Macaca mulatta: one gene and its partners. The protein of the gene in region 1 interacts with the protein of each later gene in a biochemical or structural test. Links are inferred from orthologs where the notes say so. Each region holds a gene or a part of one and is shown in the gene's direction. Other genes may lie near its edges.

Evidence for each region.
Region 2: the proteins of ESR1 (region 1) and EP300 form a complex in vitro, tested with the Homo sapiens proteins (10 studies listed by BioGRID, with this or other methods). The link is inferred for Macaca mulatta from reciprocal best matches to the Homo sapiens genes ESR1 and EP300.
Region 3: the proteins of ESR1 (region 1) and CEBPB form a complex in vitro, tested with the Homo sapiens proteins (2 studies listed by BioGRID and IntAct). The link is inferred for Macaca mulatta from reciprocal best matches to the Homo sapiens genes ESR1 and CEBPB.
Region 4: the proteins of ESR1 (region 1) and TRIM24 form a complex in vitro, tested with the Homo sapiens proteins (4 studies listed by BioGRID). The link is inferred for Macaca mulatta from reciprocal best matches to the Homo sapiens genes ESR1 and TRIM24.
Region 5: the proteins of ESR1 (region 1) and RELA form a complex in vitro, tested with the Homo sapiens proteins (3 studies listed by BioGRID and IntAct). The link is inferred for Macaca mulatta from reciprocal best matches to the Homo sapiens genes ESR1 and RELA.
Region 6: the proteins of ESR1 (region 1) and NR0B2 form a complex in vitro, tested with the Homo sapiens proteins (2 studies listed by BioGRID). The link is inferred for Macaca mulatta from reciprocal best matches to the Homo sapiens genes ESR1 and NR0B2.
Region 7: the proteins of ESR1 (region 1) and SRC form a complex in vitro, tested with the Homo sapiens proteins (3 studies listed by BioGRID). The link is inferred for Macaca mulatta from reciprocal best matches to the Homo sapiens genes ESR1 and SRC.

What each region holds. Positions count from the first base shown.
Region 1 is NC_133409.1:70,539,329-70,542,828, forward strand, and holds part of ESR1 (estrogen receptor), read left to right. Parts: exon of another isoform or gene 1-97; intron 98-2,104; 5' UTR 2,105-2,174; coding exon 2,175-2,626; intron 2,627-3,500.
Region 2 is NC_133415.1:10,366,240-10,369,739, reverse strand, and holds part of EP300 (histone acetyltransferase p300), read left to right. Parts: intron 1-740; coding exon 741-850; intron 851-1,851; coding exon 1,852-1,989; intron 1,990-2,567; coding exon 2,568-3,005; intron 3,006-3,500. UniProt on the Homo sapiens protein: Functions as a histone acetyltransferase and regulates transcription via chromatin remodeling. Acetylates all four core histones in nucleosomes. Histone acetylation gives an epigenetic tag for transcriptional activation.
Region 3 is NC_133415.1:103,041,750-103,045,437, forward strand, and holds CEBPB (CCAAT/enhancer-binding protein beta), read left to right. Parts: upstream 1-1,347; 5' UTR 1,348-1,548; coding exon 1,549-2,583; 3' UTR 2,584-3,188; downstream 3,189-3,688. UniProt on the Homo sapiens protein: Important transcription factor regulating the expression of genes involved in immune and inflammatory responses. Also plays a significant role in adipogenesis, as well as in the gluconeogenic pathway, liver regeneration, and hematopoiesis.
Region 4 is NC_133408.1:178,414,171-178,417,670, forward strand, and holds part of TRIM24 (transcription intermediary factor 1-alpha), read left to right. Parts: intron 1-398; coding exon 399-567; intron 568-2,095; coding exon 2,096-2,424; intron 2,425-3,431; coding exon 3,432-3,500. UniProt on the Homo sapiens protein: Transcriptional coactivator that interacts with numerous nuclear receptors and coactivators and modulates the transcription of target genes.
Region 5 is NC_133419.1:8,727,016-8,731,079, forward strand, and holds the start of RELA (transcription factor p65), read left to right. Parts: upstream 1-1,264; 5' UTR 1,265-1,593; coding exon 1,594-1,655; exon of another isoform or gene 1,656-1,902; intron 1,903-2,127; exon of another isoform or gene 2,128-2,240; coding exon of another isoform or gene 2,241-2,247; exon of another isoform or gene 2,248-2,273; intron 2,274-2,720; exon of another isoform or gene 2,721-2,862; coding exon of another isoform or gene 2,863-2,889; intron 2,890-2,947; coding exon 2,948-3,131; intron 3,132-3,199; coding exon of another isoform or gene 3,200-3,232; coding exon 3,233-3,381; intron 3,382-4,064. UniProt on the Homo sapiens protein: NF-kappa-B is a pleiotropic transcription factor present in almost all cell types and is the endpoint of a series of signal transduction events that are initiated by a vast array of stimuli related to many biological processes such as inflammation, immunity, differentiation, cell growth, tumorigenesis and apoptosis.
Region 6 is NC_133406.1:214,067,984-214,071,967, forward strand, and holds NR0B2 (nuclear receptor subfamily 0 group B member 2), read left to right. Parts: upstream 1-1,184; 5' UTR 1,185-1,245; coding exon 1,246-1,777; intron 1,778-3,099; coding exon 3,100-3,341; 3' UTR 3,342-3,697; downstream 3,698-3,984. UniProt on the Homo sapiens protein: Transcriptional regulator that acts as a negative regulator of receptor-dependent signaling pathways. Specifically inhibits transactivation of the nuclear receptor with which it interacts.
Region 7 is NC_133415.1:90,224,013-90,228,128, forward strand, and holds the start of SRC (proto-oncogene tyrosine-protein kinase Src), read left to right. Parts: upstream 1-1,316; 5' UTR 1,317-1,393; intron 1,394-4,116. UniProt on the Homo sapiens protein: Non-receptor protein tyrosine kinase which is activated following engagement of many different classes of cellular receptors including immune response receptors, integrins and other adhesion receptors, receptor protein tyrosine kinases, G protein-coupled receptors as well as cytokine receptors.

The sequences.
Region 1 (3,500 bases):
CATGCGAGCACATTCCTTCCTTCCTTCTCACTGTCTCGGCCCTTGACTTCTACAAGCCCATGGAACATTTCTGGAAAGACGTTCTTGATCCAGCAGGGTAGGCTTGTTTTGATTTCTCTCTCTGTAGCTTTAGCATTTTGAGAAAGCAACTTACCTTTCTGGCTAGTGTCTGTATCCTAGCAGGGAGATGAGGATTGCTGTTCTCCATGGGGGTACGTGTGTGTCTCCTTTTTCTTTCATGACTTGTAGGATTCTTTGTGCCATTTGCATATAATTTGGCAGGTTCAGATTTTTTAAGAGCCCTATGAAGTGCTTTTTGCGTGTGTTTTAAAAAGGCATTTGAAAATTGAAAGTGTGATTTATGGAAACTAAATCATCTGTGAAAAATTGCTTTGGAAAGTAATGATTGCTGGCCATAAAGGGAAATATCTGTGATGTACCTAATGTGTTTTTAACCCTTTAGTTGCTGACAATCTATAGTCATTAATGCTAAACTCGATTTTGGCTTCATATTAAATCAGCTAATCTGTATATTGTCCGACAATGGTCTGTTTTTGTAGGAATTAGATAAAATGTATACTTGATATAAAATATTCAAAAATGTAACTATTAGTAACAGTAAGCTTGGCATTTAGATATACCATGAACACTTTGTCAGGTACTCTGTTGGGTGTTTGGGATAGCAATTAAAATAAAGTATTGATAGTTGTACCAGAGTCTATTAGGCTGCAGCAAAGGAAGTTTATTAAAAAGTATAAACTCTCCAAGATTATAGATGCATGACATACTTTCCGTATTTTTTGTGTCCTTAATATGTATATGTATGTGTGTGTGTGTGCGTATGTGTGTGTGCATGCTTAACTTTTAATTCAGTTAAAAACTTTTTTCTATTTGTTTTTCATCTGGATATTTGATTCTGCATATCCTAGCCCAAGTGAACCGAGAAGATCGAGTTGTAGGACTAAAGAATAGACATGCAGAAATGCATTTTAAAAATCTGTTAGCTGAACCAGACCGACAATGTCACATAATTGCCAAAGCTTTGGTTTATGACCTGAGGTTATGTTGGGTATGAAAAGGTCACATTTTATATTCAGTTTTCTGAAGTTTTGGTTGCATAACTAACCTGTGGAAGGCATGAACACCCATGTGCGCCCTAACCAAAGGTTTTTCTGAATCATCCTTCACATGAGAATTCCTAATGGGACCAAGTACAGTACTGTGGTCCAACATAAACACACAAGTCCAGCTGAGAGAATCTCAGAAGGTTGTGGAAGGGGTCCACTTTGGGAGCATTTTGCAGAGGAAGAAACTGAGGTCCTGGCAGTTTGCATTCTCCTGATGGCAAAATGCAGCTCTTCCTATATGTATACCCTGAATCTCCGCCCCCCTTCCCCTCAGATGCCCCCTGTCAGTTCCCCCAGCTGCTAAATATAGCTGTCTGTGGCTGGCTGCGTATGCAACCACACACCCCATTCTATCTGCCCTATCTCGGTTACAGTGTAGTCCTCCCCAGGGTCATCCTATGTACACACTACGTATTTCTAGCCAACGAGGAGGGGGAATCAAACAGAAAGAGAGATAAACAGAGATATATTGGAGTCTGGCACGGGGCACATAAGGCAGCACATTAGAGAAAGCCGGCCCCTGGATTCGTCTTTCGCGTTTATTTTAAGCCGGTTCTTCCCTGGGCCACCTTTAGCAGATCCTCGTGCGCCCCCGCCCCCTGGCCGTGAAACTCAGCCTCTATCCAGCAGCGACGACAAGTAAAGTAAAGTTCAGGGAAGCTGCTCTTTGGGATCGCTCCAAATCGAGTTGTGCCTGGAGTGATGTTTAAGCCAATGTCAGGGCAAGGCAACAGTCCCTGGCCTTCCTCCAGCACCTTTGTAATGCATATGAGCTCGGGAGACCAGTACTTAAAGTTGGAGGCCCGGGAGCCCGGGAGCTGGCGGAGGGCGTTCGTCCCGGGACTGCACTTGCTCCCGTCGGGTCGCCAGGCTTCACCGGACCCGCAGGCTCCCGGGTCAGGGCCGGGGCCAGAGCTCGCGTCTCGGCGGGACATGCGCTGCGTCGCCTCTAACCTCGGGCTGTGCTCTTTTTCCAGGTGGCCCGCCGGCTTCTGAGCCTTCTGCCCTGCGGGGACACGGTCTGCGCCCTGCCCACGGCCACGGACCATGACCATGACCCTCCACACCAAAGCATCCGGGATGGCCCTACTGCATCAGATCCAAGGGAACGAGCTGGAGCCCCTGAACCGTCCGCAGCTCAAGATCCCCCTGGAGCGGCCCCTGGGCGAGGTGTACGTGGACAGCAGCAAGCCCGCCGTGTACAACTACCCCGAGGGCGCCGCCTACGAGTTCAACGCCGCGGCCGCCGCCAACGCGCAGGTCTACGGCCAGACTGGCCTCCCGTACGGCCCCGGGTCTGAGGCTGCGGCGTTCGGCTCCAACGGCCTGGGGGGTTTCCCCCCACTCAACAGCGTGTCTCCGAGCCCGCTGATGCTGCTGCACCCGCCGCCGCAGCTGTCGCCTTTCCTGCAGCCCCACGGCCAGCAGGTGCCCTACTACCTGGAGAACGAGCCCAGCGGCTACACGGTGCGCGAGGCCGGCCCTCCGGCATTCTACAGGTACCCGCGCCCGCGCCGCCCGTCGGGGTGGCCGCCGCGCCCGGCGAGAGGGAGGAAGGGAGGAAGGGAGGGAGGGAGAAGGGGGAGCCGAGGGAGCAGCGGGAGCCGCGGGACGCGCGACCCGAGGGTGCGCGCAGGGAGCTCGGTGCGCGCGGCCCAGCCCGGGGGTTCTGCGTGCAGCCCGCGTTGCGTTCAGAGTCAAGTTCTCTCGCCGGGCAGCTGAGAAAAACGTGCTCTCCACCCACTTAGGGTCCGTGCGACAGGCAGACCCGAAAGCCCGGGGCTTCCTAACTAAACACACGTTGGAAAACCAGACAAAGCAGCAGTTATTTGCGGGAGGAAACACCTCCAGGCAAATAAACACGAAGCGCTTTGAGTCACTCGAGAAGGTCCCGCTCTTGGCATTTAAAGTTGGGGGTGTTTGGAGTTAGCGGAGCTCGGCAGAATTTTATTTATCCTTTCAATGTTTTTGTTTAATGTGCTCCCCAAATTTCCTTTCATCTAGACTATTTGATTGGAAATATGTCGGCTATGATGATGACTTTCTGGGAAGCGATTCCTGTCACCCTCTTTCCCCTCCTCCCCACCCCACGTCCTGGGGCTTTAGAGAGCGATTGGGAGTTGAATGGGTCTGATTTCGGAGTTAGCTGGCTGAGTCCGCGCTGGAGCGGATTGCTGGCATGTGACTTCTGACAGCCGGAAATTTGTAGGTGTCCCGCGAGTTTAAAACAAGCCATATGGAAGCACGAGTGCTTAAAAATAATCTCCCGCCAGCCCAGTGGCGAGCCTGTCCCACCCGGGGAGAATGCCCCGGAGTGGCGTGCGGGTCCGCCGGGGTCTGCGCCTCGCAGCCACTGTGGAACGAGCGCGGCCG
Region 2 (3,500 bases), on another chromosome or scaffold:
GTACCACCTGAGGTCAAGTATGAGACCATCCTGGCCAATGTGTCGAAACCCTGCCTTCTAGTAAAAATACAAAAATTAGCCAAGTGTGGTGGCACAGGCCTGTAATCCCATCTACTCGGGAGGCTGAGGCTGGAGAATCACTTAAACCCAGAAGGTGGAGTTTGCAGTGAAGCGAGATCTTGCTGCTGCACCCCAGCCTGGGTGACAGCGAGACTCCGTCTCAAAAAAAAAAAAAAAGCAGATTGTAAAATTTGTAAAATTCGGTTTGAAGATCCTGTTAATAATGTCTGTTTACAACTGCTGTGAGACATATTTATTTATACTTACAAGGTTGAAAGCCAGTTTATTAGTCCTGATAAAATACAGAATCAGGGCCGGGCACGGTGGCTCACACCTGTATCCCAGCACTTTGGGAGGCCTAAGCGGGCGGATCACGAGGTCAGGAGATCGAGACCATCCTGGCTAACACGATGAAACCCTGTCTCTACTAAAAATATAAAAAATTAGCCAGGCGTGGTGGTGGGCTCTTGTAGTCCCAGCTACTCGGGAGGCTGAGGCAGAAGAATGGCGTGAACCCGGGAGGCGTTCAGTGAGCCGAGATGACACCACTGCACTCCAGCCTGGGCAACAGAGCAAGACTCTGTTTCAAAAAAAGATGTAGAATCAGACATAAGAATTCTGTCTTTTATTCTTCAGTTTCAGAAAGGCGTTCAGATCTAATATTTTGCACATATTCACAGGTTTGAATCAATTTGGCCAGATGAGCATGGCCCAGCCCCCTATCGTACCCCGGCAAACCGCTCCTCTTCAACACCATGGACAGTTGGCTCAGCCTGGAGCGCTCAACCTGGTTAGTTTGACGTCTTTAGTAATCATTTTGGCCTTTATCTGGTATTTTGAAAATCCTGTTTGTTCCTAATTTATAAATGCTCACAGTTATTTAAACAGACCATAACTCCTAGTTCTTCTGTAATTCTTCTGTATTTAATTCTACTAGAAAGCTGACCAAAAAACGAAAACAGCCAGGCCCTTGTCCCTGGAGTGTCCATGTTTAGTGGCCTGCATGCGTTTTCATGGTCACCTCTCTTCCCTGATGTCTGTCTTCCCTTCTCCAGGCAGAGAACTGTCTTTTTGCAAGGTTGATGGTGCATTTGCCTGGTTCTTGAGCTCGGAGAAGAGAGGCTAGGCTTCTGCTCCTTATGTGAACTCTTAACCACTTCATCTCTCTACCTTGACCCCGACCCTCCTGCTGCCCTTTAGAGTTAGCTGGTGCCTCTGAATCTTGGCCCCTTTGGGGCCCCTTCTTGTCTTATGAAGTTTTTTGCCTTTGGAGATTTCTTTCTTTAAGGCCTGAATTTGTGTAGGGTAATTTTAGAAATGAAATATAGCATTGCTAGAGCATTTGTGGACCATGAATGCTACCAGATTCTGCCACAACTTGTAAGATTTTACTTGTTTTTACATATTATGGGTCTTAGAATTTGTGTTATTACTACATCACTGACATGAGCTTATGAAATTGTGATTAACTCTCCTCACTTAACAGAGCATGCAAAGAAAGTTACCTGCTATCCTTGTGCTAGACATATTTGTGTACCAAGAGAATGTGTGTTTGTTCCATCCTCTTACTATTTCTTGAGAGTAGACCTAGGTAAACTGTGAGGCTATTTCCCTTTTTCTGCACAAGAGTCAGTTGTTCTATAACTTTCTTCCTTCTCCTCTCCAGCCCTCTTCACCTATACTCCTGTCTTTGACTTTGCTTAATAAACCTGACATTAGGACCTTTTGATGATTTTAGTTATAGTAGAATAACTGTAATGAAGCAGTTTGGTGATCTGTGTTTTTTTGCAGCCTATGGGCTATGGGCCTCGTATGCAACAGCCTTCCAACCAGAGCCAGTTCCTTCCTCAGACTCAGTTCCCATCACAGGGAATGAATGTAACAAATATGCCTTTGGCTCCGTCCAGTGGTCAAGCTCCAGTGTCTCAAGTATGTCTCATAAGTGGATTTTTTACTTTTTTTTGATTCTTGAAATTTCTCTTGACGTAGGTTTTTATAGGAAAGAGTGGCAGCAGATAGTGGGTGAAAACAGATGATTTTTTTAAAAAATAACAGTTTTAGACTTAGGGTGTTCTGAACCTTAAGAGATTATTCTGTGACATAGCAATGGTGTTAATTGTTACAAATTAGGAAATAATATAAATGGATGGTTTTGTTTTTAGTAGTGAACACTTTTAAATAAATCTTAGAATTAAACACAATGTAGAAGGAATTCTGGCTGAAGAGAGCATAGGCAGGCCCTAGAGCACTGTGCTCTCAATTCTGTCGTTTTTCTGCAGTGGCTGAGGCCATTCGGCTGAGTGGTTTGAAGTCGGTTTACTTAAATACTGTATCAATGGTGCTGTCCAAAGCTATATCCCCAGTAACAGGGTATTTTACACATTTTGAAATAGACACATTGCTACTCTTTGTTTAACCAGTTTGTGTCCTAAATTCATATAACGTGCCATGTAAGTATTTCTTTAATTCTGTTTTGAATTGCTATCTTATGTTTTTTATTTTAACAGGCACAAATGTCTAGTTCTTCCTGCCCGGTGAACTCTCCTATAATGCCTCCGGGGTCTCAGGGGAGCCACATTCACTGTCCCCAGCTTCCTCAACCAGCTTTGCATCAGAATTCACCCTCGCCTGTACCTAGTCGTACCCCGACCCCTCACCATACTCCCCCAAGCATAGGGGCTCAGCAGCCACCAGCAACAACAATTCCAGCCCCTGTTCCTACACCTCCTGCCATGCCACCTGGACCACAGTCCCAGGCTCTACATCCCCCTCCAAGGCAGACACCTACACCACCAACAACACAACTTCCCCAACAAGTACAGCCTTCACTTCCTGCTGCACCTTCTGCTGACCAGCCCCAGCAGCAGCCTCGCTCACAGCAGAGCACAGCAGCGTCTGTTCCTACCCCAACAGCACCGCTGCTTGCTCCACAGCCTGCAACTCCAGTAAGTAGAGATTTGATTTAGGCAGAATCATTAGAGCTGTACTGTAGTATTATATTATTTCTGGGTCATTTCTATTACTCTCTTTTGCTTTATCTCTTACTGTTTTCTCCACAAGTAGAGTGTAATCTGTTTTTCATTAGGGACTTTCTTATCCTGTTTTGCATTCCTGTGATAGGACCTAACGTAGCAGGAGTGTAAAGATTTTATTTAGCTCTGACTTTGACCATTATGTTTCATGTTGTATCCTGAGGTCTGAAGGTACGTAGAGGGGTATGACAAGGGGACACAGTCCTTCTCTTTATTTAGTATATTATTTAGTGTAACACATAAATTTTACATATATTTAAAGAATCTTTTTCAAACAGTTTGAGCTTTAAAACTTAGAGATTAAATTGAAAAATTGCAGATTTGGGCAGGCGCGGTGGCTTATACCTTTCATCCCAGCACTTTGGGAGGCCTTGGCGGGCAGATCACTTGGGGTCAGGAGTTTGAGAC
Region 3 (3,688 bases), on another chromosome or scaffold:
AGCCTAGGGAGCAGAGGCGGGCCGGTAGTTAGAGGGCCTTGGGTCTGTGTTCAAGTCCAGGCAGGCCGTTGTCACTTTCCCATCTGTGAAACGGCAGCAGCAAAAGCATCTTCCTGGTGGGGTGAAAAAGAACCTCGGGGTCCAGGCCCACCCTGAGCACAGGGCAGGGACTTGGTAAAAACTTCTCTTTCTCTTTCCTTCTCTGTTTCCTGCATGCCACCCCCCTCCCGTGAGGCCTGGCTTAAGCCCCTCCCCAGCAGCTTCAGAAACAGAAGCTTTTTGGCCTCTGGGGCTGGCAATAGGTCTTAGGGCCCAGATGAGGGCATTTCGTTTGGGATGAATGGGGGACATGCGGCCATGTGACCTTGGTATGCCATGCCATGCTCCCTCTGGGCCTCCACTGGCACAATCCATGGGGGTCCCTTTCTCTCTGATGTGCAGCCCACAACGTAAGCCTTAGGTTTGGGAGTCTGGTGGGAGCAATGCCACCACCGCTGACAGTAGCGACACCCTTCATGGACTGCAGCTGGGAGAAGTGACTCATCCAAGGTCGCACAGTGTGGCAGGGCCCAGGTCGGATGGCGCGGCGCGGGGCAAGAGAAGACCCGGGTGTGTACAAGCCGCAAGCAGGCGGCAGGTGCGGTGGGCGGGGCTAGGGGCGGGACACCGTGGACCAGGGTCCAGCCCCCAGCGCAGCGCGATCCTGCTCCGTCCCCCCGACCCCCGGGGTCCTCATATTGGCGGTGGCTTAAGAGGGGAATCGTCACAGGCGTGGAGTCTACTCCTTTCTAGAGCCGGGGACCTGTGGAAGAGGTGGGAGTTTAGGGGGAAGGGCTACGGAGATGGGTCGCTTCTCCTGGAGCTAGAGTTGCGGGCTGGGGTCTCCAGGGTTCCGCCCGGGGAGCGGCCCCTGGTCCGCCGTCGGGGCTCTGCTCGGTCCTCCTGAAACCTCCGCCTCCTCCAGCAGGGGGCGGGCCGGGGCCGCATCTCCGGGGGAAGGCGATCAGGTCGCCCCCTCCTCCGATTCCCCCGCCTTCCAGGACAGCCTCCAGCCCAGAGGGGCGGTCTGGGGGCGGGGTCGCACCGCCCCCTCTCGCTCCCAATCCCGGGGCGGCCGGGCGGGGGTGGGCAGGGGGCGTGAGGCCGCCCCCTGCGGCCCGGGGACCCCCCCCGAAAACGCGCTCCGGGTGCCCGGTCCCTCCGCTGCGCCCTGCCGCCGTCCTCCTGGGGGTCTCGGGCGGCCGCGGCCGTGTCCTTCGCGTCCCGGCGGCGCGGCGGGAGGGGCCGGTGTGACGCAGCGGTTGCTACGGGCCGCCCTTATAAATAACCGGGCTCAGGAGAAACTTTAGCGAGTCAGAGCCGCGCACGGGACTGGGAAGGGGACCCACCCGAGGGTTCAGCCACCAGCCCCCGCACTAATAGCGGCCACCCCGGCAGCGGCGGCAGCAGCAGCGACGCAGCGGCGACAGCTCAGAGCAGGGAGGCCGCGCCACCTGCGGGCCGGCCGGAGCGGGCAGCCCCAGGCCCCCTCCCCGGGCACCCGCGTTCATGCAACGCCTGGTGGCCTGGGACCCAGCATGTCTCCCCCTGCCGCCGCCGCCTGCCTTTAAATCCATGGAAGTGGCCAACTTCTACTACGAGGCGGACTGCTTGGCTGCTGCGTACGGCGGCAAGGCGGCCCCCGCGGCGCCCCCCGCGGCCAGACCCGGGCCGCGCCCCCCAGCCGGCGAGCTGGGCAGCATCGGCGACCACGAGCGCGCCATCGACTTCAGCCCGTACCTGGAGCCGCTGGGCGCGCCGCAGGCCCCGGCGCCCGCCACGGCCACGGACACCTTCGAGGCGGCTCCGCCCGCGCCCGCCCCCGCGCCCGCCTCCTCCGGGCAGCACCACGACTTCCTCTCCGACCTCTTCTCCGACGACTACGGGGGCAAGAACTGCAAGAAGCCGGCCGAGTACGGCTACGTGAGCCTGGGGCGCCTGGGGGCCGCCAAGGGCGCGCTGCACCCCGGCTGCTTCGCGCCCCTGCACCCGCCACCCCCGCCGCCGCCGCCGCCCGCCGAGCTCAAGGCGGAGCCGGGCTTCGAGCCCGCGGACTGCAAGCGGAAGGAGGAGGCCGGGGCGCCGGGCGGCGGCGCAGGCATGGCGGCGGGCTTCCCGTACGCGCTGCGCGCTTACCTCGGCTACCAGGCGGTGCCGAGCGGCAGCAGCGGGAGCCTCTCCACGTCCTCGTCGTCCAGCCCGCCCGGCACGCCGAGCCCCGCCGACGCCAAGGCGCCCCCGGCCGCCTGCTACGCGGGGGCCGCGCCGCCGCCCTCGCAGGTCAAGAGCAAGGCCAAGAAGACAGTGGACAAGCACAGCGACGAGTACAAGATCCGGCGCGAGCGCAACAACATCGCCGTGCGCAAGAGCCGCGACAAGGCCAAGATGCGCAACCTGGAGACGCAGCACAAGGTCCTGGAGCTCACGGCCGAGAACGAGCGGCTGCAGAAGAAGGTGGAGCAGCTGTCGCGCGAGCTCAGCACCCTGCGGAACTTGTTCAAGCAGCTGCCCGAGCCCCTGCTCGCCTCCTCCGGCCACTGCTAGCGCGGCCCCCGCGCGCGTCCCCCTGCCGGCCGGGGCCGAGACTCCGGGAAGCGCCCGCGCCCGCGCCCCCGCCTCCGCCCCCGGCGGCGCCGGCAAAACTTTGGCACTGGGGCACTTGGCAGCGCGGGGAGCCCGTCGGTAATTTTAATATTTTATTATATATATATATCTATATTTTTGTCCAAACCAACCGCACATGCAGATGGGGCGCCCGCCCGTGGTGTTATTTAAAGAAGAAACGTCTATGTGTACAGATGAATGATAAACTCTCTGCCTCTCCCTCTGCCCCTCTCCAGGCGCCGGCGGGCGGGCCGGTTTCGAAGTTGATGCAATCGGTTTAAACATGGCTGAACGCGTGTGTACACGGGACTGACGCAACCCACGTGTAACTGTCAGCCGGGCCCTGAGTAATCGCTTAAAGATGTTCCTACGGGCTTGTTGCTGTTGATGTTTTGTTTTGTTTTGTTTTTTGGTCTTTTTTTTTGTATTATAAAAAATAATCTATTTCTATGAGAAAAGAGGCGTCTGTATATTTTGGGAATCTTCCGTTTCAAGCATTAAGTAAGAACACTTTTAATAAACTTTTTTTTGAGAATGGTTACAAAGCCTTTTGGGGGCAGTAATTGGCTTTTGTTTTTTTTTGCTTTATTTTGGATTTGTAGGATTTTGTTTTTGCGTTTCTGGTGTGTAGTGGGTTGTGTGTGGGGGGCTGCTGTTATTTTTGGAGGTTTTGGTGGTTGGTGGGGGTGTTGCAGCTGGTTTTTCTGCCTCCTCTGCTACACCCTCCCCCCACCCACAGGGTCTGCTTGGAGATGGGGTTCCAGCCCTGGGGGAAAGGGGAGAAGAGTAATGGGTCAGGCTTTCAGGCTAACTCAGAGCTCCTGGGCGCCGGGACCGGTGGCTGGGAACCCTGCTTGAGAAGAGATTCCGGGACCTCTGACTGGTCCCGAGTGTCAGGCTTGGGTTTGGAAGGGCTGGGAGGTCTGTGACCCCTGCCCTGTGTTTGGGGACTAGATAGGCAGGCCTGTGACTGTAGGAGGAGGGGTTCAGGTCTTGGTCCTGCTGAGCCCGAGTCAGGGCAGATGCTTTTAGTAAGTGTAGTTGG
Region 4 (3,500 bases), on another chromosome or scaffold:
TTAAATAGCATTGTTTAAATAAATGATTATTTCATTGTCTTCACCAAAGTATTACTTTGCTACTGACTGGAGAAGGAAATGAGAAAGTCTAAAATCAGATGCCAGTTCTAAGATACTAAATCTGGTTGCCTAATTGTAAAGCCTCAGGTTTTTAAAAGTTTCGGTTTATTGAAACATCTTTCCAGATATATAACTATTTAGATAGGTTAATATGTAAAACATTTTTATCATAAATGAAACTTGCATATAGCAGTTTCGTTAGGCATCATTAATTGCCGATGTAACATACTTACTGTTGTGAGGATACAGTATTATTTTAGAAAGTTGTTGTTATACTTTTTATGAGGTATTCAGCTTCACATTCTTAGATTGCTTTTTCTTCTCTCTCATACTTACAGCTCTGGCTCTTCCAGCAAACCAGCAGGAGCTGACTCTACACACAAAGTCCCAGTGGTCATGTTGGAGCCAATTCGAATAAAACAAGAAAACAGTGGACCACCAGAAAATTATGATTTCCCTGTTGTTATAGTGAAGCAAGAGTCAGATGAAGAATCTAGGCCTCAAAATGTAATTATGAATACTTGCAATATTATTCCTATGCATGGTGGGTAGGGTGAGAGAAACTCTTAAATAGCTCTTAGGAGTTTTTTCTTTAATGTTATATTTAAAGGGATTTAAAGACAATTTGAGGGAATCTCTCAGTAAATTAAACAAAAAGTCAAAGATGGAAAAACAGGAAAGTTTTAAAAAATCAGAGGCTCAAATATGGAGACTGGGCAGCTAAAAAGAGATATTCTCTAACCAGAGTTTTATACCCAGGCAAATTATCAGACATGAAGATTAAACATTTTTGTGCAAGTTCTCAAAATAATTCTTAAGTACTTATTCTCAGGAAGATATTTGATAATATGTATCATCAAAAATATAGTAAAACAAGAAAGAAGAAGATACAGGATTCCAAAAATGGAATCTGACACAGAAGAAAAAGGCAACCCACAGTACAGCAGCAGCAGCTTGTGCAGTAGTCTCTAGCAGGAAGACATAGGACTCCAAAGGGAGAAAAATGCTTCAACAGTATTGAGAATCTCCTGCTGGAGATTGTGAGAATCACATAGAAATAGGTACCTGAAAAAATAAGGTAATTACAGAGTCTTAGTAAAAACAAAAAGTTGTACAAAAAGAAATGTCATAGTACATTTTGTGGGTCTACAGTGAACAATATTTACATAATAATGATATAAAGAAACACCTGAGTACAAATGTAACGAAAAACTGTGACGCAATCAGGATATAAACTAAATATGTATGCATTTAACCAAAAATTGTGATTTTCAGAATACTTAACCAGTACAGACAAATACTAGTCAGTTGGAATAGATACTGGCAATAAATAGTTACACCGGTACCTACCAACTAAAAAAAGCAATGCTTAATAAAAACTAAGTTAAAGGGATGAGGTGAATGGTGGTTTTGTGTGTCTGAATGGAAGGACAGGGTTGGAGAGTCAGGATGTAAAAACCTAATCTCCTGATCTTCACTAGCAAGGATTATAGATGTATTGCAATCTTTAACAGTCATTTTATTTAGAAATATGGAGGTAGATGGCAGAAGAAAAAGCTAGGTTTGAAAATAGTACTTCTAAGGAATGAGTGCTTTTAACTATATCTACGTTTATTACCTTGAAGTTTTTGAAAACATTTGAAGGAGACTGTTCTTGTTATAGATTTGAAATTTTTACCATCCTGGGCTTCAACAGAAAGTTTAGATTCATCTTACAATTTGTGTATCTTAGGTATAATTTGAATGAACAGCTCCAGTGAGGTGTATATATAGGTCATGTGACTGACTTCCACACTACCCAACCCATTCTCGAATTTCTGTAGCCATCCCCAGACTCAGATTTGTTTTCTCTATTTTGATATTTTTCAGTAGAGGTCCATGTCTTCTATACCAGTTAGCAGTAAACATATACTGTTCTCATGAAGATTCCTTTGAAGCAGCCAGGTGCTCACTAGAGAGTGGTCCTACAGCTCAGAATTGCATTAGTGATAAAATTTTTTAAACACCAGTTAAATATATATTTTTTCTACTACAGGCCAATTATCCAAGAAGCATACTCACCTCCCTGCTCTTAAATAGCAGTCAGAGCTCTACTTCTGAGGAGACTGTGCTAAGATCAGATGCCCCTGATAGTACAGGAGATCAACCTGGACTTCACCAGGAGAATTCCTCAAATGGAAAGTCTGAGTGGCTGGATCCTTCCCAGAAGTCACCCCTTCATGTTGGAGAGACAAGGAAAGAGGATGACCCCAATGAGGACTGGTGTGCAGTTTGTCAAAACGGAGGGGAACTCCTCTGCTGTGAAAAGTGCCCCAAAGTATTCCATCTTTCTTGTCACGTGCCTACATTGACAAATTTTCCAAGGTAAGATAGTACTTCCCTTCCCACATTCTTTTACTCTAAACTTTTGAAGATTACTTAAATGAAATTCTACTTGGCACAAATGTATACTCCAAAATCCCAGTGAATAGTCTAGGTTTTCCCATACCTTTCCGCTTATTCCTTGTGCTTCTTTCAAGAAATTAATCATTCAGCCTGAGCAACACAGGGAGACCCTGTCTCTACAAATTAAAAAATTAGCCAGGTGTGGTAGTGCATGCCTATAGTCCCAGCCACTCAGGTGGCTAAGGTGGGAGGATTGGTTGAGCCTGAGAGGTCAAGGCTGCAGTAAGCTGTGATTGCACCACTGCACTCCAGACTGGGCAACAGAGCAAGACCCTCTCCCTAGTCATTATAAAAAGAAAATAAATAATAGGCCCTTTAAATTATCACAAGGTGTCACCATAAGGAACAATGTCCTTAGGCATAACAGCTACCAGTTTATTATGTCTTTTTTCCAGGCATCAAACTGTATCATTTACAAGTATTTCAAGTAAATTCTCAAACCCTATGGGGATGATGATCATCATCCTGACCAAGATGGTTAAGAGCCATTGGGTTGATCTCTCAGTTCTTGGAAGGCTATACTTTTGAAAATTTAATTTTATAAACTTAGAGTAACAAGAACAGTACAAAGAGCTTTTCTGATTTCTGAATCCTTTGGAGGAAAAAAATTCAATTATGCCCTAGATATGTGAGCCCTAGATTAATGTGTTAATTTGTCTAGGTGGTTTTTTTTGTTGTTGTTTTTTCATATATGTATCTCACACCTTCTTAACTAGATTTTGATGTTAGGCCCTTGCATTATATTTCTGCTGTTTCCTCTCAGCATGGTACAGTATACCTAGTGGTATGTGGTAAATGCTGAGTGATAAAATTCATGCCAAATAAACAATTCTGTATCATAGATGTCATGGAGGAGGTGGGAAAGGGAAATAGTGAAGAGAGGAAATGATGCATTAGAAATTCAAAAGTACATTGTCCCCCTACAGTGGAGAGTGGATTTGTACTTTCTGCCGAGACTTATCTAAACCAGAAGTTGAATATGATTGTGATGCTCC
Region 5 (4,064 bases), on another chromosome or scaffold:
GAGACCAGCCTGGCCAACATGGTAGAACCCCGTCTCTACTAAAAAAATACAAAAATTAGCCAGGAGTGGTGGTTGGCCCCTTTAAATCCCAGCTACTTGGGAGGCTGAGGGAGGAGAATCACTTGAACCCGGGAGGTGGAGGTTGCAGTGAGCTGAATGCCACTGCACTCCAGCCTGGACGACAGAGCGAGACTTCATCTCAAAAAAAAAAAGTTCAAAACTAAGGAAAACCAAACAATATATTGTGTAGGCATGCAGATATGAGTAATTTTTTTTTTTTTAATACAGAATTCTGGCCCAGGCGTGGTGGCTCATGCCTGTAATTCCACTTTGGGAGGCTGAGGTGTGAGTATCGCTTGAGCCCAGGAGTTTGAGACCAGCCTGGGCAACACAGCAAGACCCATCTCTAGTTATAATTAATTAATTAATTTAAGAAAATACAGAATTCTGGCCCAGCGTGGTGACTCATTCCTGTAATCCCAGCACTTTGTGAGGCCAAGGTGGAAGGAAAGTTGAGCTCAGGAGTTCAAGGACAGCCTAGACAACAAGGTTAAACCACTTCTCTACAAAAAAATACAAAAACTTAGCCAGGCATGGTGGTGTGCTCCCATAGTCCCAGCTATGCAGGAGGCTGAAGTGGGAGGATTGCTTGATCCTAGGTGGTAGAGGCTGCAGTGAGCCAAGACTGTGCCACTACACTCCAGCCTGGGCGACAGAGCGCGAGCCTGTCTCAAAAAATAAATACATACAATACAATACAATACAACGCAGAATTCTGCACGGTGGTGGTCCCTTAAGTTTTGCAATGGGTACACGGGTGTTTATGGTATTAATTTAAAAGTTATAAATATACATGAATTTTAAGAAGAGGATCCATGCAAGGTTTAATGATAATTGTATGTCATCCATTCGCTCAACTGAAGTCGGCCTTCCCCGCCCCCTGCCAAAAGTAAACACTTTTCTAATCAGGGCCAGCCACTGGAGAAACTGAAATGAGTGGGCGGGGTGCTAACTCTATTTTCACTTTTCTCTTCCTGTTTCTTCAGAGCCTGGGAAACAAGTCAGAATTTCCAGTCTTTTCCAATTCCCACATGATTTCCTAATTCAAGACGAATTCAGAGAAAATAAGTCTTTCTCCATCTGGAGAAGACTCCGCCCCCTGGAGCATCCTCCTTCGGGGATGAGGCCTGAGGTGGGGCTGCGCCAGCCCCAGCCCCCACAAGGACGCGCCTTGGGCTTGGTCTTGGGGGAGCTACCCGCACTGTGGGGTCACATGACAGAATTAGTGGTCAGCCCTAGCTGGAGGTCCAGGGCAAACACAGGCGGGGGCAGTGGGGTTGGGGGTTGTGGCCCTGCTGATTCGAGTGTCCCCTGTGGGTTCCGGACCTTCTGAGATACAAGCGCCAGGCTTCAGAGACGAAGCTCCGGGGTTTACCCCTGGGGACCCCCTGCTCCTGCAGCCGCTGAGGGCCGGCAGTTTGGCTGCATAGTAAGCTGGCGCTTTAGCTGGAGAGGGACGAGCTCTCGGCCAGCTCGCCAGCGGGAGGGCCTCAAGTTGTCCCATCCGGGCTGCAGGCTCCGCAAAGCTCCCTGATGCACTGTCAGAGGGGGAGGTCCGGCCGCTCCCCTTCCCCTACAGCCGCATCTAGAGTGGGGTAGGTTGGACATTTTAACGTGCTTCTGAGACAGTCACCACCGAAAGGCACCTTTAGCGATGAGGAAACCGGCGTGGAGTTCAACCACCCGGCCTCTGCGGAGCAGAAGGCCCGACTGGGCCTTTCCCTGCGCGGGGCGGGCGGCCGCAGCCCCGTAGCCCGGGCTTTGCTCCAGACCCGGCCCAGAGTGACATCACCAAACTCCGCCGATCGGTGGGAGGGGGCCCTGAAATCCCCTAAAAACAAAGTGAGTAATCGGCGGACCCGCCCTCCAGGCGGGGCCGGGACCCGGGAGCTAGCCGAACCACCGGGCACACCAGCCTCTTCGTCTCCGGCGACGCGCGCACTTGGCCCCGGCCCCCGGCAGCGGCTGTGCGCGCGGCCTCTTCGTCCTCCGCGCGGCGCGCACTTGCTCCCGGCCCCTTCGCCGGGCGGCGGCGGGGCAGCGCGCAGGCGCGGCCGGATTCCGGGCAGTGACGCGACGGCGGGCGCGCGCGGCGCATTTCCGCCTCTGGCGAATGGCTCGGCTGTAGTGCACGCCGCGGGCCCAGCTGCGACCCCGGCCCCGCCCCCGGGACCCCGGCCATGGACGGTGAGGTCGCCCTCTGACCCCGCGGGGTGGCCGCGCCGGGACCGCCCCGGCTGTGGCGGGAGGCCCCGCGCCGCTTTCCGCCCCTTCCTGCGCCGACTGGCGCTGCGCAGGGAGCGGTCGGCCTGCCGGATGGTGGCGCGGGGCGGGGCAGGCGGGGAGGGGTCTGACTCAGTTTCCCCTCTGGGTGGAGGGGGGCCCTTGACTCAGCATCCTCCCTGGGTGGGGGAGCAGAGGGAGCCTTGACTCAGTTTCCCTCCACACCGTCCATGGGGGCAGCTCTGGCTTCGTTTCCCTATTAGGGGAGAACGCATCTGATTCAGTTTCCTCTCTGGATGGAGGTGGGGCGTGCCCTCCCTCAGTTTTCCTTATGAAAGTACAACAGGCCCTGATTCGGCTTCCCTCGGGAGAAGGATTCCTTACCCCGTTTTCCCTCAAGAAGCAGGTGTTTCTGGTTCCTTTCCTCCACTCCTTAGTTTCACCGCAGGTTCTAGGAAGCAGGTCCTTACTCAGTTCCCCTGGGAGGGAGCCTGGCTTCTCTTCTCTGTGGAGAGCAGATACTCCCTTGTGAGGATGGGCAGTGGGTGTGTGCTGACCCTGATCTCCCTCCCCTTTCAGAACTGTTCCCCCTCATCTTCCCGGCAGGTAAGTGGCCCCCGCAGCAGTCCGGGAGGTGTTCCCTGGGGTAGGGCAGCGGGGGCAGCTGTCTAATGGGCCTGCGGTGTCCCCTGGCAGAGCCAGCCCAGGCCTCTGGCCCTTATGTGGAGATCATTGAGCAGCCCAAGCAGCGGGGCATGCGCTTCCGCTACAAGTGCGAGGGGCGCTCCGCGGGCAGCATCCCAGGCGAGAGGAGCACAGATACCACCAAGACCCACCCCACCATCAAGGTCAGCACTGCACCAGGGTGTGCGGGGAAGGGACTGTGGAACCCCAGCCCTCTGTGTTTGGGAGTCAGGTTTGGATGTCTGGGCCTCTGTACTTTGGACAGATCAATGGCTACACAGGACCAGGGACAGTACGCATCTCCCTAGTCACCAAGGACCCTCCTCACCGGCCTCACCCCCACGAGCTTGTAGGAAAGGACTGCCGGGATGGCTTCTATGAGGCTGAGCTCTGCCCGGACCGCTGCATCCACAGGTGAGCTCCCTGCAGGCTAGGAGGCCCAGCATGAGGGAACAGGAGGCGGGCTATGAAGTAGCCGCTACAGTGTTACTCCTTTCTGGACACAGGGCAGAGTTGCTTACTTCTTGCTCTGACTCAGCTCTGCAAGTAAACTCTCTTTGTCTTGAAATGATCTATTTGTACCTCTACTCTAGCACAGATAAGAGCTCCAAGGGATATGGATGGGTCCCTAATCACTTCTGAATCCCTGACCCCTGTAGCTGGAAGGACAAGTCCCTTGGAGTCATGTCTCTTGTTTGAGAAAGAAAACCACTGAACCAACACTCTCCCCTGGAGGTGACATTGCAGTTGACAGAAACAGGCCTTAAAAAAATATACAGGCCAGGCATAGTGGCTCATGCTTATAATTCTAGCACTTCCGGAGGCCAAGGCAGGAAGATCTCTTGAGCCTGGGAGTTCAAGACTAACCAAGGCAACATAGTGAGACCCTATCTCTACAAAAAAATAAGAAATTAGCTGGGTATGGTGACTTGTGCCTATAGTCCCAGCTACTTGGGAGGCTGATGTGGGAGGATCACCTGAGCCCAGGAGGTCACCGCTATGGCAAGCTATGATTACACCACGACACTTGGGTAGCAGAGCGACACCTTGTCGTGTTTTTTTTTTTTTTTTGAGACGGAGTCTTGCTCTGTCCCCAG
Region 6 (3,984 bases), on another chromosome or scaffold:
AGGGTAGCTGGGACTACAGGCACATGCCACCATGCCCGGCTAATTTTTGTATTTTTAGTAGAGACAGGATTTTGCCATGTTGGCCAGGCTGGTCTTGAACTCCTGACCTCAAATGATCCCCCTTCCTCGGCCTCCCAAAGTGCTGGGATTACAGGCATGAGCCACCATGCCCAGCTGGCAACTATCTTTTATTATAACTCTGTGAGTTCTTCTCAGCAGAACTGGACTTTCAGGAGTGGTAGGAATCAGGCAGGGAAAGGCCGGGCGCGGTGGCTCAAGCCTGTAATCCCAGCACTTTGGGAGGCCGAGACGGGCGGATCACGAGGTCAGGAGATCGAGACCATCCTGGCTAACACGGTGAAACCCCGTCTCTACTAAAAAAAAGTACAAAAACTAGCCGGGCGAGGTGGCGGGCGCCTGTAGTCCCAGCTACTCGGGAGGCTGAGGCAGGAGAATGGCGTAAACCCGGGAGGTGGAGCTTGCAGTGAGCTGAGATCCGGCCACTGCACTCCAGCCTGGGCGACAGAGCAGACTCCGTCTCAAAAAAAAAAAAAAAAAAAAAAAGGAATCAGGCAGGGGATAGGGATTCTGAAGGACCTTATTCCTGCAGGGGGCCCAGAACTGAAACCAGAGGAAGGGGGCCTCCGAGACTGGACAGCGGGCAAAGTCCTCCCAGCCCCCCCAGGGTCCTGGCTCCCTTCCCTGTAGCCTGCTCCTGGCCGACAACAGAAGCAGGGCCCCAAGGTTAGGCAAACAAGCTAGTGATAAGGCACTTCCAGGTCGGGCCTTGCATTCAAGGCCCACCCAGCTCTGGGGCTGACTTCCTGGCTTAGCGAAAGCGCTAGTCTTTTGTGCACACAAGAGCAGGCACCAATGGGGACACCTGCTGATTGTGCACCTGGGGCCTTGGTGCCCTGGTACAACCTGGGTTAATGACCTTGTTTATCCACTTGAGTCATCCGATAAGGGGCAGCTGAGTGAGCGGCAGGTGGCCCTGTGCCCTGCACCGGCCACTTCATTGACTGAAGTGATATCAGTGCCACGTGGGGTTCCCAATGCCCCCTCCCCCACCACTTCCCCACCATTCCTGCCAGGGGCAGTGTCTGTGTGTTTTTTTCAATGAACATGACTTCTGGAGTCAAGGTTGTCGGGCCATTCCCCCCCTTCCACTCACTGGGAATATAAATAGCACCCACGGCGCAGAACAGAGGGCCAGAGAGCTGGAAGTAAGGGCAGATCCCAACCATGAGCACCAGCCAACCAGGGGCCTGCCCATGCCAGGGAGCTGCAAGCCGCCCAGCCATTCTCTACGCACTTCTGAGCTCCAGCCTCAGGGCTGTCCCCCGACCCCGTAGCCGCTGCCTATGTAGGCAGCACCGGCCCGTCCAGCTATGTGCACCTCATCGCACCTGCCGGGAGGCCTTGGATGTTCTGGCCAAGACAGTGGCCTTCCTCAGGAACCTGCCATCCTTCTGGCAGCTGCCTCCCCAGGACCAGCGGCGGCTGCTGCAGGGTTGCTGGGGCCCCCTCTTCCTGCTTGGGTTGGCCCAAGATGCTGTGACCTTTGAAGTGGCTGAGGCCCCGGTGCCCAGCATACTCAAGAAGATTCTACTGGAGGAGCCCAGCAGCAGTGGAGGCAGTGGCCAGCCGCCAGACAGACCCCAGCCCTCCCTGGCTGCAGTGCAGTGGCTTCAGTGCTGTCTGGAGTCCTTCTGGGGCCTGGAGCTGAGCCCCAAGGAATATGCCTGCCTGAAAGGGACCATCCTCTTCAACCCTGGTGAGCTCCCAGACACTCCTGGGTAGGGGGCAAGGCTGAAGCAGGAGCCAGCCAGGGAAGGTAACTTCTAAGGGTTTGATATCTGTAATCTCATGGGGTCCACATTTTCTTTTTTTTTTTTTTTCTGAGACAGAGTCTCACTCTGTCACCTACTCTGGAGCGCAATGGCGCGATCTTGGCTCACTGCAACCTCTGCCTCCTGGGTTCAAGCAATTTTCCCTGCCTCAGCCTCCCAAGTAGCTGGGATTACAGGTGCCCGCCACCACTCCCGGCTAATTTTTGTATTTTTTAGTAGAGACGGGGTTTCGCCATGTTGGTCAAGCTGGTCTTGAACTCCTGATCCCTCTGGTGATCCACCCACCTTGGCCTCCCAAAGTGCTGGATTACAGGCGTGAGCCACTGTGCTTGGCCGGTTCCTCATTTTCATCAAATAGCCATCTCACAGAAGAGGTACAGAGAAGCTAAGTGACGAGCTAAAGGTAACACAGCCAGGTAGGGACAGACCAGGATGGCAACTCAGGTCTATTCACTCCAGAGACTGGCCCTTGCCACTCTGCCTGAGAAATTTGCTCTGACCTTTAGAGAAGGCTGCGGGGGAGGTGGGGTGGGCAGACACAGCTGTGTCTCAGTCACATCTTCAAAGGAAGGCTGCATGGTGAAGCTCTAGAGCTGAAACTCCTCTGTGGGTTCAGAAAGATCACTTAGAAGAGAGAACTGAAAGGGGTGTAGGGAGGACAGGAAGGGAGTCTTTGTGGAATTTGGCCAGGAGAGTGGCAGATGAGACAGTGCTCTTTGTAATCTGGAGAGCATCTGAGATGAGCGTTCCCCAGGAGTCCCTGTGGCACGCATAAATCGTAGTAGTTAATTGCAATAATAGTAGCAAATACTCATATCACACTTACCATATGTTAGGCCCTATTCTAAGGGTTTTACATATACTAGTTCATTTAAATCTCATAAAAACCTAGGAGACAGGTCCTATTAATATTATTATCCTCGTTTTACAAATAAAGAAACTGAAGCCCAGAGATTAAGTTACTTGCCCAAGGTCACCCAGCTAAGTGACAGTACTGGGATTCATACTCAGGAAACCTGATTCTTAACCATTACTCCATACTGCCTCTTCATAAATGGATGGATGAATACAATGGAAATTGATAAATAAATTACCTCCTCCAAAGGAGGAGGTAGTAGTGGGACCTCAAAGGCCGAGCAAAGGAGGCAGAGGGGTGTCTCTGATGGCCCAGATCTTGGGCCAGTCTCTTCCTTTGGTGGCTGGGAGTAGGATGCTCACCAACCCTCTTCTCCCTCTCTGCCCACAGATGTGCCAGGCCTCCAAGCCGCCTCCCACATTGGGCACCTGCAGCAGGAGGCTCACTGGGCGCTGTGTGAAGTCCTGGAGCCCTGGTGCCCAGCAGCCCAAGGCCGCCTGGCCCGTGTCCTCCTCACAGCCTCCACCCTCAAGTCCATTCCGACCAGCCTGCTTGGGGACCTCTTTTTTCGCCCTATCATTGGAGATGTTGACATCGCTGGCCTTCTTGGGGACATGCTCTTGCTGAGGTGACCAGCTGCAGCCCAGGCAGAGATCAGGTGGGCAGAGGCTGGCAGTGCTGATTCAGCCTGGCCATCCCCAGAGGTGACCCAATGCTCCCGGAGGGGGCAAGGCTGTATAGACAGCACTTGGCTCCTTAGGAACAGCCCTTCACTCAGCCACACCCCACATTGGACTTCCTTGGTTTGGACACAGTGCTCCAGCTGCCTGGAAGGCTCTTGGTGGTCCCCACAGCCTCTGGGCCAAGACTCCTGTCCCTTGTTGGGATGGGAATGAAAGCTTAAGCTGCTCATTGGACCAGAAGTCCTACTGACTTTATACAGAACTGAATTAAGTTATTGATTTTTGTAATAAAAGGTATGAAACACTTGGAGCCTGATACTGTTGTTTGTGCATATAGAAGGGACTGTCTCACCTCCAGGGCCCACCCTGCTCCTATCAGAGGTAGCCCAAGGGAAAAAATCCACAGGGTTGCTGGAACTAATTTTCCAGGGAACAGTATCAGTTCACAATCCCATCACCTCATTGCCTTTATCCTCAGGGGAAGGAGGTTGCTCTCCTGTTCCCAAACCCTTCACTAACCACTCTCCTGGCTCCTACCCACTTCATGCGCCCTCTCACCACAGTTAAAGCCCAATCACAGCCAATCAGGAAG
Region 7 (4,116 bases), on another chromosome or scaffold:
GGGTCCCCTTAACCATGATGCCCCCACCTGGCTTGGGCAGGTGCCTGACAAGCCCTTCTGCTCTCCCGTCAGAGAGAGGATGGCTGCCAAAGGGCCAAGTCCCTGCCCGCCGCCTTCCCCCTTCATCCCCGCACAGGCCTGACACTACACCCACTGCTGCTCTTCCCTGGCCCGCCTCCCACCTTTCCCCCGCCACTGGGGCACTGTTATCAGGAGGCATTCCAGGACTGGCTGAGAACAGCTTCCACCCTGGGCCCTTCTGAGCGGATGTGATCACTGATAGGATGCCCTGCTGGGGCCTCCTTTAAGGAATGGGCTCTGGGGTACGAGACGGTGGAACCCAGATAGTCTGGGTTTGCCTCCCAGTGCTGTGTCTTATGAGCTGTGTGACATCAGGCAAGCAGCTCCACCTCTCTGTGCTTCAGTTTCCTCATCTGCAAATCAGGGCCCGCCACAGAGGGCTGGGGTGGTTCACTGAGTTCCTAAGCATGGTGCGCGCCACCCAGCAACACCGTGATGGTGACGCTGTAGCTGTTGTTATCCTCTGAGGATCAACCATCCCTCCTCCTTGTGGGGCCCCTGGTTTATTTGGCCTCTGTGTCCACCCCCTGATGAGGGCATGGCCGGAGGACCCCTCTGGACTTTCTCTTCTCCAGGTCTAGAGGACAAGGAGAGGGTGAAGCTGAGAGAGGCTATGTTCAGAAATTGGGAACCTGCTGTGTGATCTTGGATGGCCCCTCTCCCTTTCTGAGCCTCCATTTCCCGGCCTGCTCTATGAGCCTGTGGACCTGGCCCCTCGTTATCCCTGTCACGATACTTTCTGTAGTTCCTCCCTCGGCCAGCCCAGCTACATGGCTTTTGACTGTCTTTCCCACTATGGCATCAGTAGGTGCTCAGCTAAGCCTTGTTGGAGGAGCCTGGCAGTGCACCATTGAGTGACTGTCCAGGGCTTTCCCACTCCTGGCCTTTTGCTTGTGTGGCCCCCTTTGCCAAGAATGTGGCCCCCATTCATCTCTACTTGTGGAAATCCTTCTTGTCCTCGAAGCCCTTCGCAAATGCTGCCTCCCCCAGGAAGCCTTTCCCAGTTTCTCCCAGCCAGAGGGGATGCTGGTCCTTGGAACACTTGCTCTGAGGCTCTCTGGTGGTCCCTGTTACAGTGCACTGCAGTGTCCATAGTTACAGATGAATGGCAAACAGGGACTGTGCACTTACTAGGAGCCAGGCAGCGGGGGGGGGGCCCTGAGCTTGTGCTGTCTTATTTCATCTTCCACACCAGCCTTGCAAGGTGGATATTAATCCTATTATCCCTCCCTTTACAGAACAGAGAACAGAGGCTCAGAGAAGTGAAGCAACTTGGCCAGCTATGAGAGACAGAGCCAGGATTTGAAACCAGGTAAGTTTGTGTTTTTTCTTTAAAAAGGAAAGAAAAAACATCACACACACACACACACACACACACACACACACATACACACACACACGACAGGGAAAAGTAAGTCTCTCTCACACCCAGGTCTCCTTGCCAGAGTCAACCACTTGAAAAAATTTCTGGTGTATCCTTCCAGGGAGATCCAGGCATATATAAGCATGTATATTAACAATTTTTTTAGCATAATGTGAATTTCAATAATGATGGGAATGCCAGGTGTTGATATTTTTAGCTTCCGCACTTGACTCAATATTACACATTTGCAAAGAATTTTGTTTTTTTCTTAGGGTCTTACTCTGTTGCCCAGGCTGTAGTGCAGTGTCACAATCATGCTTACTGAGGCCTCGAACTCCTGGGCTCAAACGATCCTCCCACCTCAGCGTCCCAAGGAGCTGGGACTGCAGGGAAATGCACCACACCCAGCTAATTATTTATTTTTTTGTAGAAGCAGAGTCTCACTATGTTGCCTAGGCTGGTCTTGAATGTCTGGGCTCAAGCAGTCCTCCTGTCTTAGCCTCCCAAAGTACTGGGATTATAGGTGTGAGCCATCACCCCCAGCCGGAAATTTTTTTCTCTTTTTTAGATAAATGATAGCACACAGTCTACCCTGTCCTCAACTGACTTTTTTCTCTTGACAGTGTACCTCAGAGGTCATTTATTTGTGCTGCATTTTTCTTGTTCATGGTTGCGTAGTATTCCACTGCATGTACGGTGGTCACACTGTACTTAACTAAGGACAGATATTTTGGTTGTTTCCAGTCTTTTGCTTGTTCTAGGCAATTCCACAAATGAATATCCTCAATCATATGCCTTGTGTTTGTGTGTTCTTTTAGGATTAATTCCACACTGCAGGGTCAGTGGGTGTGTAATTGTGATAGGTATTGCCAAATTGTCCTTCAGAGAGATTGCGCTGGTGTCCCCACACCCTCTGTTCTCCTCACTCTCACCAGCATAGGATGTTACCAAATTTGGGGATAAATTGCATAAGTGCAATTTGCCGAGCTGATAGGTGAACAGTGGCCCCCAGTGTAGTTTATTTGAAAAATGTGTATCACAGCTTTACTGAGATAAAATTCACATAGCATACAATTTATCTATTTAAAGTATACAATTCGGTGGTTTTTAGTAGAGTCACAGAGTTGTACAATCGTCACCACAGTCAAATTTAGAACATTTTCATTACCCTACAAAGAAACTTTACCCATTACAGTTACTCCCCACTTCCCCCTAAACTTCCCTCCCCTAGACCTAGGCGGCAACTAATCTAGTTTCTGTTTCTATAGATTTGCCTATTCTGGGCATTTAATAGAAATGAAATCATTCAAGTGTACTCTTTTGCGGCTGACTTCTTTCACTTAGCATAATGTTTTCAAGATTCACTCATGTTGTAGCATGGATCAATATTTCATTCTTTTTTTCTTGCCAAATAATATTCTATCATATGGATATACCATATTTTATTTATCCATTCATCAGTTGATGGACATTTGGGCTTTCTGGCTATTACGGGTAATACTGTTCTGGACATTCATGTGCAAGTTTTTGTGTAGACATATGTTTTTCATTTCTCTTGAGTGTGTACCTACGAGTAGAATTGCTAGATCATATGGTAATTCCATGTTTAACTTTCTGAGGAACTGCCAGATTGTTTTGCAAAGCAGCTGCACCATTTTACATTCCCATCAGCAATGTCTGAGGGTTCCAGTTTCTCCACATCCTTGCCAACATTTGTCTTTTAGATTCTAGTCATCCGTCCTAGTGTCTGTGAAGTGGCATCTCATGGTGGTTCTGATTTTTTTTTTTTTTGGACAGGGTCTCAGTCTGTTGCCGAGGCTCACTGCAGCCTCAAACTCTTGGGCTCTAACAATCCTCTCATCTCAGCCTCCTGAGCAGCTGGGACCAAAAGTGTGTGCCACCACACCTGGCTCAGGCCCTTTTTTTTTTTTTTTTAGTTTGTAGAGATAGGGTCTCACCGTGTTGCCCAGGCTAGTCTTGAACTCCTGGGCTCAAATGATCCTCGCACCTCGGCCTCCCAAAGTGCTGGGTTTACAGGCATGTGCCACTGTACTCAGCCGTTTTGATTTTTATTTCCCTAATTACTAGTGACATTAAGCATCTTTTCATGTGCTTATTGGCCACTTGTATATCTTCTTTGGAGGAATGTCTATTCAAGTTCTTTGCCTACTTTTATTATTAATGTAATCTATTTTTTTTTTGTCTTAGCAACAAGGTCTCACTATGTTGCCCAGGCTAGTCTAGAAGTCCTGGCCTCAAGTGATCCCCCTGCCTCAGCCTTCCAAGTAGCTAGGACTATAAGCGTGTGCCACCATGCCTGGCTTAATTTTTTTTTAATTTTGTAGAGATAGGATCTTACTCTGCCACTCAGGCTGGAGTGCAATGGTGTGATCATAGCTGACTGTAACCTCAAATTCCTGGGCTCAAGCAATCCTCCCATCTCAGCCTCCTGAGTAGATAGGACCACAGGCATGCAACACCACGCCCGGCTAATTTTTTTTTTTAATTTTTAGTAGGGGTCTCACTATGTTTCCGAGGCTGGTCTCAAGCTCCTGGCCTCAAGAGATCCTCCTGTCTTGGCTTCCAAAGCACTGGGATTACATGCATGAGCCACTGTAAGAGATATTTATATATTGTAGATACAAGTATATGATTTACAAATATTTTCTCCT